Rattus norvegicus: one gene and its partners. The protein of the gene in region 3 purifies or fractionates together with the protein of the main gene of each other region. This does not show direct contact. Links are inferred from orthologs where the notes say so. Each region holds a gene or a part of one and is shown on either strand. Other genes may lie near its edges. The genes, in order: Irf2bpl, Irf2bp1 and Irf2.

Region 1 (5,784 bases), on a different chromosome or scaffold from region 3:
CAAAACAAAACAACACGTGAAGATCCAACACATTCAGGTCAGTAGAAACAAACCAAAACATTTTTACCCCCTTCACAAACTTGCAACAAAAAAACACCCATCCCCTCCCAACACCCCCCTTACCATTTTGCAAACAAAACAGAAAAACAAAACAGAACAAAATTAAGTGAAGACTTCAACACTTGGGGCTGTTTAGAAAGAAGCTTTTACCATTTTATAGCATCAAATTTTTTTTTTGTTTTTTGTTTGTTTTTTGTTTTTTGTTTTTTTTTTTTTTTTTAGGCAGCAACACTGGCCTTGGCAAAACAAAAACAACAAAATCTTTTTCTTTTGTGTGTTTTATCCTTTCAGAGTGCATAACATTTACAAAAATACACACACACCAGCAGCAGTCGTTGCTAAGGGCTATTAATTCTGTACCTAGGCAAACATTCTGCCACCAAATAAATGCTAACGAATATGATGCGAAAGACCCAATCAATATTATACTGCTTAACACAAATCGGCTTATCCTTCAAATGAAGAAGTTACATACCTGTTTCAAAATATAGAAACATACCGACGAAAATAATGTCTATACATAAGACTAACTTTTTGCAGTTTTATTCACAATTCTACATCTTGGTGGATAGGGAAGGTGGAGGCAGGTGGGGGAAGGGCCCTCCAGACTGAAGAGGAGGTGGTCTAGGGCAAAGGAGGTCGCTGCCCTGCGCGGTTCAAGGGTCTCTCTCTTTTTTCACTTTAACATCCCCAGCTAAGATAGTTGCGATTTCGCCCTGCATGAAGGCCCAAGGTACATTAGACCCGACTAGGGGGCATTTCTCTCCGCTGGGGCAATACACCTCACCTGTGGCCCCCTGGGCTTTGATACTCTCTCTAGAACAAGGGAAACAAAATTTGTGGCTAGGGACGGATGGACACTGAACGAAATGAGTGTCCTCCAAACGTTCGTGGCAAATGGTACAGCAGAGGGGCCCGCTGTTGGCCATAGGGGAATCCGGAATGTTTTGGGGGTGCACTTGGTCCATGCCCGGGTGGGCGCTAGGCGGTGGGGGTGCCACCTGTAAATTCAGGTCCCCATTGCGTGATGCCAGGCGACGCTGCCCCGGCACGGAGGCAGGCGACACCGGGCTGCTGCTGTTTCGCCTAGCAGATGCAGTGGTGGAGTGCACTGAACTGCCATCCTTGGGCGAATGCGCTGTGCCCAAAGTGTCTGCTACTGACATGAGCGCGGCCATGGGGGACGGACCGTTCTGGGGGGCTGACTCGGGCGGGGTGGTCCGATTGGAATGAGGTCCCAGAGGTGGAGGGGGTGGAGGCGGTCCCCCTGCTGCGTGTCCCGGCGCCGCAAAGCCCCCCGCGGACATAGTGAGCTTCAGCGCCTCGCTCTGGTTTGCCATCCACTGCTGCCTCTGCTGCTCCTCACCGAGCTTCAGTGCGCTTTCAGCTGAGTCTGGAGGCTCCGGGGATGCCTTCCTTTTGCGCAGGCTGGCTGCTGCACCCCGGCCCGTGGGCGCCGCGGGTGGCAAGGCTCCAGTTCCTGGAGGTGCGCTGGGGGCGCGGCTGAGACTCACCAGCGCCGTGGGTAGCATGGGACAACTGGCATCTAGGTAGGGCTGGGGCAGCATGTCCGCGCCGGGCACGCCCTCCTTGAAGAAGCGCACAGCTTCGGGCAGTAGGTCCCCAAGAAGGCGCCAGTCGCCAGAGCCATGCTTTTTCTCGTACTCCAGGTATTTGAAGCCAGAGGACAGACCCCGGCCAAAGTCCTTCATGCAATCCTGGTACATCTGTTTGGCCACCCCAGACGCGCTGGAGTACACATTGCCGGAGCCCGTGGGATACTCAATGAACAGCTTCAGCTCGTAGTCCATGCCGGGCTTAGAGACCGCGTCGAAGGCAAAGACACGACCCAACAGCGAATGGTCCTTCTTGAAGCGCACCTCGTAGGGCGTGCAGCCAGCCAGCGTGAGCAGCGTGTCACGGACCATCTTGGGCTTGTTAGCCCACTCCTCCGCGCGGTTGCGCAGGCTCTCGCTCAGCTCGGCCAAGGCCTCAGCGTTGCGCTGCTTTTCCTTTAGCTCACGCTCCTGGTCTGTGCTCGACACCGATCCAGGCCTCTTACCAGCAGCACCCACGCCCACCTCTGCCACTGTCGACGAGGTCGATGACGGAGCAGAGGATACAGTGGCCGACACACCCGGGGGACCCCCGAGACAGGCGGGCCCCCCAGGAGCACCCGGAGGTGCTGGAGTCGGGGGCCCTCGGCTTCCCCCCAGCCCATGGGGCGGAGGCAGTACCGCGGCGCTGGCCGGGCCATTAAGCAGCGTCTGCGGCAATAGGTTGGGGGGCACGGTGAGCTGGGGTCCCCCGCCACCACCCGGGTTGGGCAGCCCGGTCACCAGCCCACTATGAGTCCCACGCCGAGAAGCCACCGATGTTGCCGCTGAGGATGAGTTGGGGCTCTGGCGGTTCAGCTCCGGGGGACCCTCCTCTGGTGCCGGCTTGGGGAAGCCGTTGGGACCTCCCAGGCCGTTGGGCAGCCGGGCGGCGTGGCTGCTGCTCCCCAGACTCACCGGGGGAGGCGGGTACTCGAAACGGCTGCGTTGTTCAACCGCGGCGGCGGCGGCAGCAGCCGCGGCGGCCGCTGCGCTCAGGCCATAGCGCTCCAGACCGGACGGGGCGGGCAACACTGCAGGCTTGGTAGAGCCATCGACGTGGTTGAGCTGCTGTGGCTGCTGCTGCTGCTGCTGCTGCTGTTGTTGTTGCTGCTGCTGTTGCTGAGCGGCGGCAGCTGCTGCTGCCGCTTCCTTGGCGGACAAGGCCACTGTCTTGACCCCGACTGGCGGCGGCGGCCCGGGGGAGCGGCCGTCTTGGAAGCAACCGTGCGCCCGCTTCAGCTGGCGTGCTGTCTCGATCACGAATTCTATGCGGTCGGCGCCTTCGTAATTGACGCAACCACGGCATACGGGTTCGGAGAAGTCCCAGATCATGGCCCAGGGCATGCGAGGCAGGTCGCACAGGTAGCAAGACTGTCTCCGGGACGAGGACACCTGCGCCGCCGACATGATGCCAGCCTCGGGGAAGGTAGGCCCCCGCCCGGGCTGTCTCCGCGGCGCTTTCTCCTTCGGGAGGACTAGCTGGCTGGGGAAGGAGTCCGGCTGCGGGGGAGGGGAGAGGAGGGGGGCGAGAAAGTTCTGCCCCAGGGGCTGGAGGGAGCGCGAGTCTCCACTGCCGGCGCAGTAGTGCCTCTCGGCGGGGGCTCCACCGCCCAGGCGACCGACGGGTTCCGCACGCTCCTCGCCCCCACCTCCTACTGCGGCTGTCTTGTCCAGAGCAGAGCACCGGGTGCCTTCTTCCTGGTGCGGCGGATCAGGGCTGCGAGCTCCGGGCCTGGGGGGAGGGGGCTAGGGTGTCCGGGGCCGACCGCCAGTGGCCTCTTGGCCCCCTCCCCGGAGTGATTGAAGCGTGGAACGCGAAGGGGGTCCTCCCTACGATCTGAGTCTTCTCTACGCCAGGCGCCCCGGGGAGAGGGTTAGAAGGTTTTGCCACCCGGTGCCCAGGTCCAATCTTGCTGAAGCCGCTGATTCCCCGGGAGGGCCGGGGGAGGAGGTGGCTGCCAAAAGAGGAGCGTTTCCCTTCCGCAGCGACGGCCGTTGCGCTGGCGGCGCCTGGGTTTGCACGCCGGAGAGAGCAGCTGCGGCCACCGTTTCCAAGACACACGAGAGCAGAGGAGAGGAGCGCACGCACGCAGGCTCCCACCACCCCCTGGCCTGACCACCTCTCCGGCCACAGAGGCTGGCGGCGCTCACGTTGGCTGCAGGGCGCTCGCTCGGCGCCTCCACCCGGGTCGCATCCCTTCCCGCTCGCGCTCGCCTGGAATGTGGGGTTGTGATTGTTACTCTACGTTCCGGAGGCGCGTCTCAGCGCTCCTGCTCCGGCTGCGGCTCGCGCTGTCCCCGGCTTGGCCGCGCGGGATGCCGCCCGGGCGGAGCGCTGACGTCACCACCATGCTCTGCACCAGTCCCCCAGCCCCCCCTTTACACTTCCTCTGTCTGTGGAGCCCACTTGTTGCTTGCGAAAGGCGCATGCGCGGCAGCATGCCCAGATTCCTCCCTGTCGGCCCCTCCTCCGCGCCTCCACCCTCCCTCCCCTCCCCCCTCGGCTGTGTGTGTACCACAGCTGAGGCCCGGGGAGCTAAAGCTGCAAGTCCAGGGTTTGGGTGCCGGGGAGGGGGGGTTCCGGGCGAGGAGGCGGGATGAAACAGGCGATGACCTTTCCTTTTCCTGCCTGGCTTTCCCAAGTAACAAAACATTTAAGAGCCACGAGTGTTGTTTCCGATTCCCGTTCCCCACCCCACCAAACCCCCAGGCAGTAAAATTAAATGCCCTGTTTGACGAGTTTCACTTTGAATTTCATATAAGGGTATTACCTATTTAATCTGCGACGAGAGCTCCCTCCCCCGTTAATGTTAACATTCCTTGCCACCATTGGTGCCCAAACACCTGCAGAATTAGCATTTCTCCCATCTTCAAGAAATTACCTTTCAGATTTGCTTTTGCGACCCAGCCTAAGAATGGAATAGGAGTTGTGAGACTATCACTAAATGAGCCACCCCTCTCCCTGGCCGAACTTTATAAAATATTTTGACTGAATGTCTAAAGAAGCTCGGATCACTCGGAGGTCTTCTGAATACAGCTGCAGAGGAGGGCAGGGAAGGGGGAGTGAGGAATTGGTCAAACAGGTGAGTGGTTTTCTGGGTTTCATAAAGGCGGGGAGGGGCATTTAATAACACTGTGTGCTAGAGTTTGGGACATAGCTCATCGAGGGAGCGCTTGTTCAGGATGACCCAGGCTCAGAACACTATCCTCAGAATCGTAAACAAATAAAGCACAGTTTTCAAAGTTCCTTCTGTGTGTTGTGATTTAATTCCACACTGTCCCGGTGCACTCTGGGAGGTCATGATTTCTTCTCCCTCCTAAGATCACTGCCCATCCTTATTGCTTACTGTAAAAACTGATAGAGTTGGTCTTAGCTCTGGCTGGGGCATGTTACTTGGTTTCCCTATTTATTGAGTTTGCTTTTTTCTTACGTAAATTAACATAATCCCTGTGGAAGGTTGGTGGAGGGGAGGGGATTTGATAAGGCTGGGTTTGCCCTACAGGATTGGAATTTCTTCACTATTGCTACCGGCTTTGTAACCTTGAGCTCTGCTTATATAATATTTTCCCTCTGCAAAATGGAATCATCTCTGTCAGCTTGATGGGTTGTCGATTTCAGGTTGTGCCTTGTGCTTGTGACAGGTTACTCTAAGACAGGTACAAAGATGGGCATTGGAAAAGTAGTTCCTTTGCTTCAGCTAATTATTTTTATTATAATGTAGATACATGGGTTGGAGAGATGGCTCAGTGGTTAAGAGCACTGACTGATCTTCCAGAGGTCCTGAGTTCAAATCCCAGCAACCCCATGGTGGCTCACAACCATCTGTAATGGGATCTGATGACCTCTTCTGGGGTGTCTGAAGACTGCTACAGTGTATTTATATATAATAAGTAAATTTTTTTTAAAAAGTAGATACATTATATAAAACGGCATTTACATTATTAAACCCAGAATGTCTTCTATGAAGTGAAGTAGATTCCACTCCATTTTACAGACTAGGAAAATAGACTGAACTTACTGCAGCAGCTGGCCTGGGGTCTGAATCCAGCACGTTTGGTTTAAGTGGTGGGGGTGCACACAAGCACATCTCCAAGAGATGGTGCAGGGGGCTGAGATTTTTTTCCA
Region 2 (5,809 bases), on a different chromosome or scaffold from region 3:
GCTCCTCTCTTTCCAGCTTCTGTGGTCTCCCACATTTTCTGGGTGTCTTTGCAGCATTTTTAGTCTTTCTGCCTACTCTCTGGTCCCAAATCCTTCCACCCTAACCTCTCACCTGCGCACTGGGGGAAGGGGGACTGACCCAGCCCCCCACCCCCAACACCCACACAGGTCAGACTGTCTGTTCTGTTAATAGTTAACCCAATCCCTATCTAAAATACACAGCAGCCAGGCTGGGGGTGACTCCCCTGCCCCCCGCCCCCACCTACCAGCTGCTCTTAAAGGACCAGGTGTCTTCCACAGCTGTGAGCCCTTCCTGGAGCAAGCGCGGTGGCCAGGTGTGAGGCTTCTAACCCTGAGGATTGGGGGGGGGGGGGGTTTGTGTGTGTGTGTGAGACCGTGCTTGGGTCTGCCGCCCTGACCGGTCGGGGAGACTTCTGAAGGAGGGGTGCTCTATTCAGCACCACCCCTGCTCCTGTATCTCGCCTGCTGTATTTAATCAGGGAGAGATTTTTCCAGCCCTGCCCTGAGCCCGGCTGGTAGTACCGGGATTGGGTTGCCCGAGCACGTAAGTGCTCAATACTGGGGTGGGGGAAATGTTACTCAGGGTCCTGCAGATGGCATTTGTCTTCAGGTGAACGAGGGGCACACAGGTAGTGAGGGTTCATGTTCAGGTGAGCAGACACCTGAGAAGGAGATCAGGAATACCCTTGGGTCTCAGGGCTCACTTAACATTTACTGTCCTGTTGGCTCAGCTTTTCATCCCTTCCACGAATTAGGGTCTCAAGTAAGGGCTGGAACATGGTTCCTGGGGCCGCCCCCTCCTTTTAACCCCTGTTTTGCCATAGCCTGCCTAGGCCCCAGACCCCGCCCCATGACGCCAGCCAGCAGGAAATCCTGGTTAATGATCAGTCACCCAGGACAGGTGCGGGACAAGGCCGCACACACATCAGAAGCAGCCGCGGCGGGTGGGAGCCTTTTACTTAGCTCCTAGGTGTTCTAGGGTGATAGCCACTGTTCCCAGATGAAGGGCATGAGCCCAGTTCAGGTTTCTCAGGTGTGTCCATCTCTCTGGCACCATATGAAGCAAGAAGGCATCATCCTGCTTCCATATACGTTTACTCAGGGAGGTTCAACTTACTCTTTCTGTGGACAGTTCCCCTAGAACTATTTTCAAGTAAACTACTTGGAGAAAGCCTCCTACTTCCTTTCCCTCTGACGTCTCAGCATTCAGAGTGCTGGCTACAACGCAAACCTATTCCCCAGTTTCTTTGTGAGCGCCGTGCAGGAGCTGAACCCTGTCAGAATCTCAGTACCATCGTCTGCAAAACCGGCCTCGACTACACCTTTTAATCAGAGCACAGCAAATGTACACTACTACAAACAGCCGCCCACTGGACAAAAGGCGCCACCTAGTGGTCACAACGCAGAAGTCCTCTCTCTTAGGACAAGTCCAATCCCGAAGGGGGCGCAGCATCTCATAAAACTAAAGGGACCAAGAAGGGGGAAAAAAAACAACCCATCTCTCAGTTTATTGAAGGAAAAAAAGGGTGGGAGAAGGGAACAATAAAATGCTTTTGCTTCGTTTATAAAGAGCGAGTTCTCAGGAGGTCCCTTTCAAGGACAAGCGGGGTACCTCTTCCCCCAACTACCAACAGCAGGAAAGCCAAGCCAAGAAAGGAGAAAGAAACTGGAGGGGCCCAGGAACTCCAAACACCCGCTCTGACAGGAGCCACAAGCTCTCTCCCCCCACCCACAATGTATCTACCCCAGGGGACCCATCTGGGCAGAGGAAAGGGTATCTACACAGGTTAGGGTGGTACTGGGCTGGGTGGGGTAGGGAATAATTTATCCGCAGTCGCGGAGGATGGTTAAGGGGGAGGGGAAGCAGCCTGACGGCAGTGGCAACCTAGGGGTCCCTTTCTTTCTTGACCTTGATGTCACCAGCAAGGATGGTAGCGATCTCGCCCTGCATGAAGGCCCAGGGGACAGAGGAACCCACCAGTGGGCATTTGTCTCCACTGGGGCAGTACACCTCTCCAGCTGGACCCTGTGCCTTGATGAACTCTCGGGAGCAAGGAAAGCAGAACTTGTGTCCAGGTACCGAGGGACACTGCACGAAGTGGGTGTCTTCCAGCCTTTCTCTGCACAGGGTACAGCACAAGGGGGCTCCAGGGGTCGCCCCTGTGCCGCTACCACCCCCGCTGACAGCTTCAGCCCCGGCCGTGGGACTGACTTCTGCCTCTCCATTGCGTGCCACTAGACGATGCTGGGTTGGTGGCTGGGTCGTGGAGGAAGCTGCAGGGCTAGCACCCCCTGCACGGACAGAGCCTCCACCCCCACCAGGGTCCTTGGGTGAGTGGCCCAGAGCCTCCGCCACATTCTTAAGGGCAGCAATAGGTGAAGGCACACCAGGGGTCTCTGTAGAGTATGGACCGCCTGGTGCCACCCAGTGCCGCTGTTGCTGCTCCTCCGTGGTCATCTTCCCAGCTGTCTCGCCCTCGGGCTCAGGGGATGCTTTGCGACGTCGTGGTGTGGGTGCCAGGTTCCGGGATGGGGCTCTCGGTGGTGGGCCACACAGAGCAGCAGGGGCCGGTTCTGGGTACTGCTGGGGCAGGGCCTCCGCAGGAGCAGGCTCTCGGAAGCTTCGGACCCCATCGGTAAGTAGCTCTCCCAACTGGCGCCATTCCCCTGAGCCGTGGCGGCGTTCATATTCGAGGTACTTGAAGCCCGATGAGGCCAGGGCCTTCCCTGGCTCTCGAAGAGCATCATGAAACATCTGGCGAGCCACTGCAAGGACCCCCGCGTACACATTGCCAGAACCACAGGGATACTCGGTGAAGAGCTTCAGCTCAAACTCATAGCCAGGAGGGCGGGCAGTGGCATCAAAGGCAAATACCCGTCCCACCAGCCCATGGTCCTTCTTGAATCGGACATTGAAAGGGGCACAGGCGGACAGCGCCAGTAGCTGTTCCCTTACAGCCTTGGGACGCCCATGCCACTCCTCCGCCCGGCCCCGCATGGCCTCGTTCAGTTCTGCCAAACAGTCCGCATTCCTCTGCTGCTTCTCCTTCTCGAAATCGGAGCCGAAAAGTGGACGAGCGGGGCTTAAGCCAGGTGCCAGCGTCAGAGCTCGGCCTCCGAGGCCAGACACTGCAGCTGCCAGCAGCCCGGGGGGCATCAGGCTGGGGATGGAGCCAAGCAAAGCCCTGCGTGCCCCTTCCGCCACAGCCTCCTCCCGGCCCAGCCCGTTGGCCAAGCGGGACCCCAGGGTGTACTCCAAAGCCGGCGAAGGCAGCGCCAGGCGGCTGGATGAAGTAGCCCTGTCATAGCGGTCCGGGCCTGAGACGCTACCTCCGGTCCCCGATGGCTGCGCCTGGGCCTGCGGGGGTGGCAACTGGGAGCCCTGGGAGCCCGTGGAGGCCAGGTCCTTGGAGGTCGGGTGCTTGAGAGCCGGGGGTCCCGGCGAGCGGCCCTCGGGGAGCACGTGGCTGCGCTTGAGCTGGCGGGCAGCGTCGATGAGCAGCTCGATGCGGTCCGCGCCCTCGAAATTCACGCACCCGCGGCACACGGCCTCGCTGAAGTCCCACACCATGGCCCACGGCATCTTGGGCAGGTCGCACAGGTAGCACCACTGGCGGCGGGACGCTTGCACGGACGCCATGGCGCCCCCCGGAGCGCCGCCAGGTGCCCCCGCTGTGCACCCGCCGCCCACGTTCACTCCGCCGTGCCCCGGGACCGGCGCGCGAGCCGCTCAGTCGGGCCTCCGGCTCGGCCTCCCCGCCGGATTCAGGCCCGGCCCCCCTTCCCCGCCCCCTGGGCCCTCAGCCTTTTTTTTTTTTTTTCTCACTCCCGCCTCCGGTGGAGAAGGCAAGCCACGAGCACGCACGTCGGCGCCCCCGTCCGGTCCGCGCCGCGAGCCGAGATGCACAGCTCCAGCTCCTGAATGGGCCTCGGGCGCCGCCGCCCCAGGCTCCCGCCGCTTCGCTCGCGCCGCCGCCGACGCCGCTGCAACGGCCGCCGTCGCCTCCTCCTCCTTCTTCTGCCCCAGAGGCCGCTTCGCAGGGAAAGTTACATAACGCGCGGGCAAAGCCTTCTGGGAAATGTAGTCCCGTCGGGACTGCTTCTTAAAGGGGACTGGGCAGAAAGCAGTGGCGGGAAAAGAGGGCGCGCGCTGGTCTCTGTGAGCTTAATTCTCACTGTGCCTCGACAAAAAGCCGGGGTTTGCACACAGGATCCAGGAAATGGGTAATGGTCTCATAAATGCTCGAGGTGGTTAAGTTGCAGGGCATGCAATTTTCCCCATTTTTTCTTGAGACTTGGATTTATTCCTTAGCTCAGGCTGGCCTAGAAGGCTAGCCTATGTAGCCTAGGCTGGCCTCATTCTTGCTGCAATCTCCCTGCTTCAGCCTTCTCGGTGGGTTTACAGGCCTGGGACCATACCCAGATCTCGGAAAGCAGTTTCTACTCTGATTTGCTGAGCAGGTTTAGAAAAGAGTCTTGCCCTCTCTTAGAATCCCGCCTCTTCGAGAAGGGCCAATAACGGGTTAGGAAGGCCGCAGCATTTTGGGATGGGGCGGAGAGGTTCTGATTGGACGGTTTCAAGGGGATGGTTCAGGCTACTCTCTTTGAGAGTGGCGTCTACTTAGCAGTTTGTCCTCCCACCCACTCCCCAGTGTCTTAGGTAACTAGCCTCAAGGGCTCCCCACAGGCAACAAGATGAGAAGACTGTAAGCTTCCGAGCCAGGTGCCTGCCTTAGTTTTCTCATCTGCTAAAGAATGTTCACTGAGCCTCCTAGTTCTGCTCCAGGTGCGCACGTACTTTGGTCTCTAAAGGGTTACACAGCTGGCTTCTCAGTACATCCCCAATTTCACTACAATTCCCAAAATGCTCTGCGAGATGGACGCAGTGACGTACTTCCTCTGCCTGGAAGCTTAGGGGAGGCCTTCCCAATCCTTGCCCCCCCCCCCCTTACTAGCAGGGAATTTCGCTCCCCGCCCCCCATTGGGGGCTGGGGTCGGGGGCTCTTATTACTCGTAGATTTGGAATGAAGGAGCCAAGAGTTGATTGCTGGGAAGGGCAACACCAAACCTCCAAGTGCTTAATGGCCTGGTGGGCCCAATCTGGCTCTGGGCACCCCATATTTTCTCTTCGTATTTTTTTGTAGTGTGGGGGTGGGGGAGGGAGAAGCGATGTATGTCTCCAGGTCCTAGCTCACATCAGCCCTTTCGCCTCATTCGGCCTGGGCCCCCACTGGTGCTCTCAAAACATTTTTTTTTTTTTCTGAATGTCTTGTCAGTTTGCATTCTTCCAGGTTTCCACATAGTGGAGGCTTGGCGGTTTTCTCACCCCCACCCCAGAGTAGTCACAGCAGCCCAGGCTTTCTATTTCAGCGTTACAATTTTACCTACCACCTGCATTACTATTTTAACACTCCTCCCTTAAACAAATTGCCTATTTTTGTCGTTTCCTGGGAGATACTATGTTCGCAACCATTGGTTTCGTGTACTACTGTTTATTTACTTTCTCTTGCTTATACGTGGTGCTGGGATGGAATCCAGGGCTTTATGCTAAGTGCTCTACTACTGAGATGTGCTAGTAGCCTGTATTTTTATTTTGAAACTGAGCCTTACTAGGTGGCCCAGGCTGGCTCAGGATTTCTCCTTCCTCAACCTCCTGGAGGCTGAGATTTCAAAAGTACATTAACCATGCCTGGATTTATTTATTGTTTTCTTTTTCTAGAGACAGGTCTCTGAAGCACAGGTTAGCCTTGAACTCGAAGCAAGCTTTCTTAGTACTGGAACTGCACAT
Region 3 (5,248 bases):
CTGCAGAGGCATCTGCCTGAGAGTTGTTTGTTGGTTTTTGCTGGAGTGAGGCAAGAGGCTGAGAAGCCTAGGCAGTCTCAGGTAAGCTGACTTGTAAGAGCACCTCTAACATGCTCAGGACTCACTGGACTGGGCGAGTGAGGGAGAGTTGATACAGCAGCAGTGGGCCACCAGAGATGACCAGGACAGGCCATCCATCTTTTACACCATCTCTGCGCCTGTTCACAGAGAACCAACACCTCTTTCCAGTTTGGGTTTTAAATGTTATTTAGGGTTTTTGTAAAGTCGTTTGCATTACATTACTTAATATCTATTTGTGTGCCTGTGTGTATGCATATGCACAGTATATAGTGTACATAGTGGAAGTCAGAGAACCCCTCACCTCTTTTATTCTTGTTTTTTGACCTCTTAGCTTTTGATAACCCATTTCTAATTATTTCAGAAGTTTTGGTTGAGTCCTTAGAGAAGCTTCTCTCCTGGGCCCACTTGGAAGGAGGCTTGTCAGGATTCTGCCCAGCACATAATGTTCTACAAGTTACCATCTTGTTCACTGGTGTAGTGGTTCTCCACCTTCCTAGGGCCGTGACCAGTTCTTCATGTTGTGGTGAAATTATTTTCATTGCTGCTTCATAACTTCAACTTTGCTAATTTTATGAACCGTAATGTAAGCATCCGATATGCAGAATATCTAATAGCCAACCACGGGAAGGGATCGTTGACCTCCCCAGGTGGGTCGTGACCCACAGGTTGAGAACAGGAGCTCTGGGGTGACAGAACCAATGAGAGTTTTCCCAGACTGGTTGTAGGAGGAGTAAGACAAGTTCCAATTAGTCTTTCAATAGCCATTAGAGGAATGTTCTGCCCCAGGCAGGATACCAGAGAGAAGCAGCAGCCCACCCCATCCATCCTGTTCTCCATCTGGATGGGTGCAGAAGACGAGGCTCCTGCATTTGAACATACAGCACAAGCAAAGGCTGGGCTCAGTTCCTGCATCACACCAGGCTAAAAGTAGCATGAACTTGGAAAACTAACGTAGTGACTCATAATTTTTCTCTCACAAAAAGTGACAAAAGGATCATTTGTCACCAGTAGTTAAACTGCAGATCATGTGAAACACTTAGAGGTCTCTGTTGCAAAGTCAGAATAATTCAATTTTTGAATAATGCAAACCTGGTTGTTTTATTACTTTGATAAGAAATCTAAAAATAGAATGACTTTAAAAAAAAAAGGAAACAAAAAGGGAATGTGCAGCAGTTCTTCCTGTCCTTTGTTTAGAGATCTGTACTTAGTTTCTTAGGGAGGAACTGACGAAATGACGTACATAAGTAGACCGTGGAAAATGATTGAGGAGGGGAAAACGGAACAGGGGCCATTGAGAGAGCCATGGAGAAAAGATGGCGCTACGGTGAGGTGCACATGCGCAGTAGCTGCGTGTGATTCAGGCTGTCAAGAGGGAGGCAAAGTCCTGAGGATGGAGCTTAGGGGAAGGGACTTGAGAAAGGGCCCTTGGATTTGGTAAGAACAGTTTTATTGGTGACCTTTGATGGTAGCAAATGTTATTTAAGAATAAACGCCTTGCCTTGTCGATATTCATCTCCTTTAAGTTTCTATTCAACCCTTGGCATGGTTTCCATTACCATTCTCAGCTCGCACATGACTAAGACGGTTGAAGAGGGGATTCAAGGGTTAAATTCAGCCAGTGAGACGTACAGGAGCCAGGCTTGGTCACCTGGTCTGATTCCAGAGTCCTCTTAGCGTGTCTTCTGCAGATGGGGGCGAGATAGGACTATAGGCCTTCCTAAGGGTGTGCATGAGAAGGTGGGGTTAGCAAAGGCAGGCATTTGCTTAGATGTTTGACCATAAAGGAAGGAAAACTGATAAGGTTCCTCCCCCTCTCCCTGAAAGAACAAGCCTTCTATTGGAACTTACAAGATGCTAAGAGAGAAAATACAAGACACTATCAGAGAAAGGGGTACAATTTCTGCTCAGTGGGCCTGCCCTGGGGTCTTCTGGGTAAACCCTACAGTGAGGATTTTCATTTGTTTGTTTTGTTTTCCTTAAGCTGAGCTGAACCTCAAGGTGATGCCCTTCAGACAGAATGATCAAGGGAGTTTGCCAGAGGATCATGAGACTTGTACAGAGTTTGATCTTATTCCCCAGTGTGACCAGTTGATAAGAATGCCCAGTATGCCTTAGAATGCCTGACTTTACCACTTTACCCACAATGCTCGTCTGCTCGCAGCCCTCTTTCCACTCTCCTCCTCCAGCTTCTTCTTCCATTTTGGATTCCCCCGGAGTTGTCCCACTATGCGGCTTTTGTCTGGCTTGTTGCTATCTCTGAAACAAATGTAGGAAGTACCCTCATCAAAGTTCTGAGAGTCAAGCGTACTTCAGGACTGGCTTTCCTTGATTGCTTGGTACTCTCAGAGAGTGGAGGGTTCAAGTACACTTGAACGAAAAAGAGATATAAAGTTAAAACAAGGGAAGGAATGACATTGACGTAGTCAGTGTCACTGTGCAGCCCCTTGGGCTGGGTGGGAGTTTCAGGCACAAGAAAAGCCCTAATCTGAAGCTATGGAGGTGGGAGTACCTATCTGGTGGTAGGCCAGTGAGGGGAGACTTAGCTCATGTTATCATTGAACCAGCAGTGCAGTGGGCTCAAGTGACCATATCACAAAGTGTGCCCGAGTGCTCACTCCCACCTTCCTCTGAGCTCCCGTCACTGGCTCATGCAGAGGCCAGCCTTCTCCGCAGGAATCCAGGAGCAGGTCCTCCTGAGTGCTCCCTCAGAGGAGAAGGCTCCCATGCAGGGACTCATGTCACAGAGCTGCAAGCCCCATCCAACCACAGAACAGTCTTCTGTGTATCTGCAGCTGCAGGTATTTCCTGAGGGCAAGCCAGATGTGCTGAGACCATTTCCTTGAAGGAAAAATGAAAGAAACCAAATAGCTAGCTTCTTTAATGTCAGGCTGATTTAAAGAGACAGGGGATGCATTTGGGACATGACGTGAATGAATAACCCCAGGATTCAACCAGTTAGACAGGGGGAGAGTTGAAGCTAAGAAAGGGGAGAGGAAGGAAGTGTTCTCAATGCCTTTTTCTTTTCTTCTTCCTAGCAAGAACCAGTTGAGTCATCTTTGGGGCTTAGTAATGGAGTAAGTGGCTTTTCTCCTGAGTATGCGGTCCTGACTTCAGCTATAAAAAATGAAGTGGATAGTACGGTGAACATCATAGGTAAACTGTTTTGACATCTTCTTTTTATACTCACGAGCAGCCTCCGAGGTCTAAACTTTGTAAAAACAGTAATCTCAAAATAACACAGCCAGTAAGAGGAGGTCTTGGAACGTGTTCAAATTCCAGCTCTGGCCCCTAGGTCTCAGGATTTCAATAATGAGATGAAGGCTTGTAGAGGAGTCAGAGAAAAGATGGCTAGGCATTCGAGCTTCCTCTCCGGTGGATAGTGGTTAGCAGTTCTTTATCAATCACTGTCAGCCAAAATGTCATTTGTTTAACTTGGGAACCAAGGAGAGGAAAGGCCATCCCTGTGGGTCCCCTCGGCACTGGCCTTGTGTACATCTACCCAGAGGTAGCACTCATTTTACAGGCCAAGAAAGTGAGGCACAGAACCCTTCTGTCAGAGGACTGACTGGCTCAATAGATTTGCAGAGACTTTCCCACCATCAAATGCAGTTCTGGGCATGAAGTAAATAGGGAACATGCTGGGCCCTATTCCTAGTTTTGTGGGGATCCAGTAACAGGCAAAGCCACAGATAAGCATAGCACCCCATTTGTAGTCTGTGATACAAAGGAAGAGAACGGGTGACTAGGAGTAACCTGCATGGTAGGGCAGGTGTCCTCAGAAGAGTGATCTCCCTGGATAGTGCCTGTGTGAGGTGCAGCAGGTGACATGTGGTGGCAGGCATAATGCTGACAGAAATCCTGTAGAAAGCATCTGAAGGACCAGAAAGCAGCCAGTGGTGCATAGTGTCGGAAGTGTGGTGACTGCTCATGAGGTCCCCTCAGAGGCAGAGGTTCTCTGATGTCTGTTCCTGGTTGTCAGCTTGACCACATCTGGAATTAATTAAAACCCAAGCAGCTGGGCACACCTGTGAGGAATTTCTTTTCCTTAATTAAATCATTTAAAGTGAGAGGACCCACTTTTAATCCAGATCGAGTGAGGTGGGACAGTGCACCTTTAAACTGGGCCACGCCTTCTGCTGGCAGCTTATGTAGAGGCCACAGAAGGAGGAAGATTTTTTAGTTTTACTTGCTTGCCCTCCCCCTCATTTGGCAGTTCCATTCCTTCACTGGCATTAGAGCCTACTTCTTCAGGATTCTGGCATATCTGAAGACCAGCGGAGACATCCAGGCTTATGGGCTGAACAGCTACAGAATTGTTGGACTTTTCATTGGTGGACAGACATTGTCAAAGTAGCTGGACCACAGCCTATAAGCCACTCTAAAATCCTCATTATATGTGTGTATATACATATATATGTCTGTATATGTATATGTACATATATTCTATTGATACATATCTTTATAGAGATTGGTTCCGTTCCTCTAGAGAGCCCTGACTATTAAAGATTTTGGTACTAGAACTGGTTCTAGAACAACAGAAGTATAATATGCATTTTAAAAATATGACTAGGCTTTCCAATATGCCCAAACCTACAGTATTGAAGCCTCTCCTAGAAGTTGAAAGAATATTAAAAGCACATTGTGTGAACTGTTTTGTAAACTGAAAGAGATGAGTGCATTTGGTTATCCTGATTCACCAATTTGAGAGGCAACAGATTTGGTGACCCCGTATAGAAGACATTTGACAATTTATGGGAAAATAGGGAGCATGCTGATCATTGAGTATCCTAGCCATTTTAGATAATTTAACAATGAAATATAATGAGCACCGAGATAAAATTGATCAACTTCTAGTGTCTTGGGATAGTGTGAACAACAACAATGATCTCAGTGATAAAACTGACCTCCGAATGCACAGAAACAGCCTACAGGTTGCTAAGTGTGCCCTGGGAGAGAATCTTCTCTCTGGCAGCCAGGCAACACAGCTTGAAGGAAACCAAACCATAGCCCTCATTGTAAGGCTGACTGAATAACAGTGAAAATTCAAGTCGCAGCCTCGGAGGATGTTGGCAGTTAGAGGAAGGACATTCATTGGTAAAGAATGGGATCCTGTAGCCTGGGATGGAAATGTGTGGGAGGACCCTACTGAAGTCGAGAACTTTGAACC

The links.
Region 1: the proteins of Irf2 (region 3) and Irf2bpl purify together in Homo sapiens (affinity purification with mass spectrometry; 3 studies listed by BioGRID and IntAct, counting the BioPlex papers as one, with this or other methods). This does not show direct contact. The link is inferred for Rattus norvegicus from reciprocal best matches to the Homo sapiens genes IRF2 and IRF2BPL.
Region 2: the proteins of Irf2 (region 3) and Irf2bp1 purify together in Homo sapiens (affinity purification with mass spectrometry; 4 studies listed by BioGRID and IntAct, counting the BioPlex papers as one, with this or other methods). This does not show direct contact. The link is inferred for Rattus norvegicus from reciprocal best matches to the Homo sapiens genes IRF2 and IRF2BP1.

What each region holds. Positions count from the first base shown.
Region 1 is NC_086024.1:112,258,307-112,264,090, forward strand, and holds the start of Irf2bpl (probable E3 ubiquitin-protein ligase IRF2BPL), read right to left. Parts: upstream 3,959-5,784; 5' UTR 3,066-3,958; coding exon 717-3,065; 3' UTR 1-716. UniProt on the Homo sapiens protein: Probable E3 ubiquitin protein ligase involved in the proteasome-mediated ubiquitin-dependent degradation of target proteins. Through the degradation of CTNNB1, functions downstream of FOXF2 to negatively regulate the Wnt signaling pathway.
Region 2 is NC_086019.1:87,779,007-87,784,815, reverse strand, and holds Irf2bp1 (interferon regulatory factor 2-binding protein 1), read right to left. Parts: upstream 4,035-5,809; 5' UTR 3,662-4,034; coding exon 1,907-3,661; 3' UTR 1,333-1,906; downstream 1-1,332. UniProt on the Homo sapiens protein: Acts as a transcriptional corepressor in a IRF2-dependent manner; this repression is not mediated by histone deacetylase activities. May act as an E3 ligase towards JDP2, enhancing its polyubiquitination. Represses ATF2-dependent transcriptional activation.
Region 3 is NC_086034.1:52,197,915-52,203,162, reverse strand, and holds part of Irf2 (interferon regulatory factor 2), read left to right. Parts: exon of another isoform or gene 1-2,337; intron 2,338-3,116; coding exon 3,117-3,234; intron 3,235-5,248. UniProt on the Homo sapiens protein: Specifically binds to the upstream regulatory region of type I IFN and IFN-inducible MHC class I genes (the interferon consensus sequence (ICS)) and represses those genes. Also acts as an activator for several genes including H4 and IL7.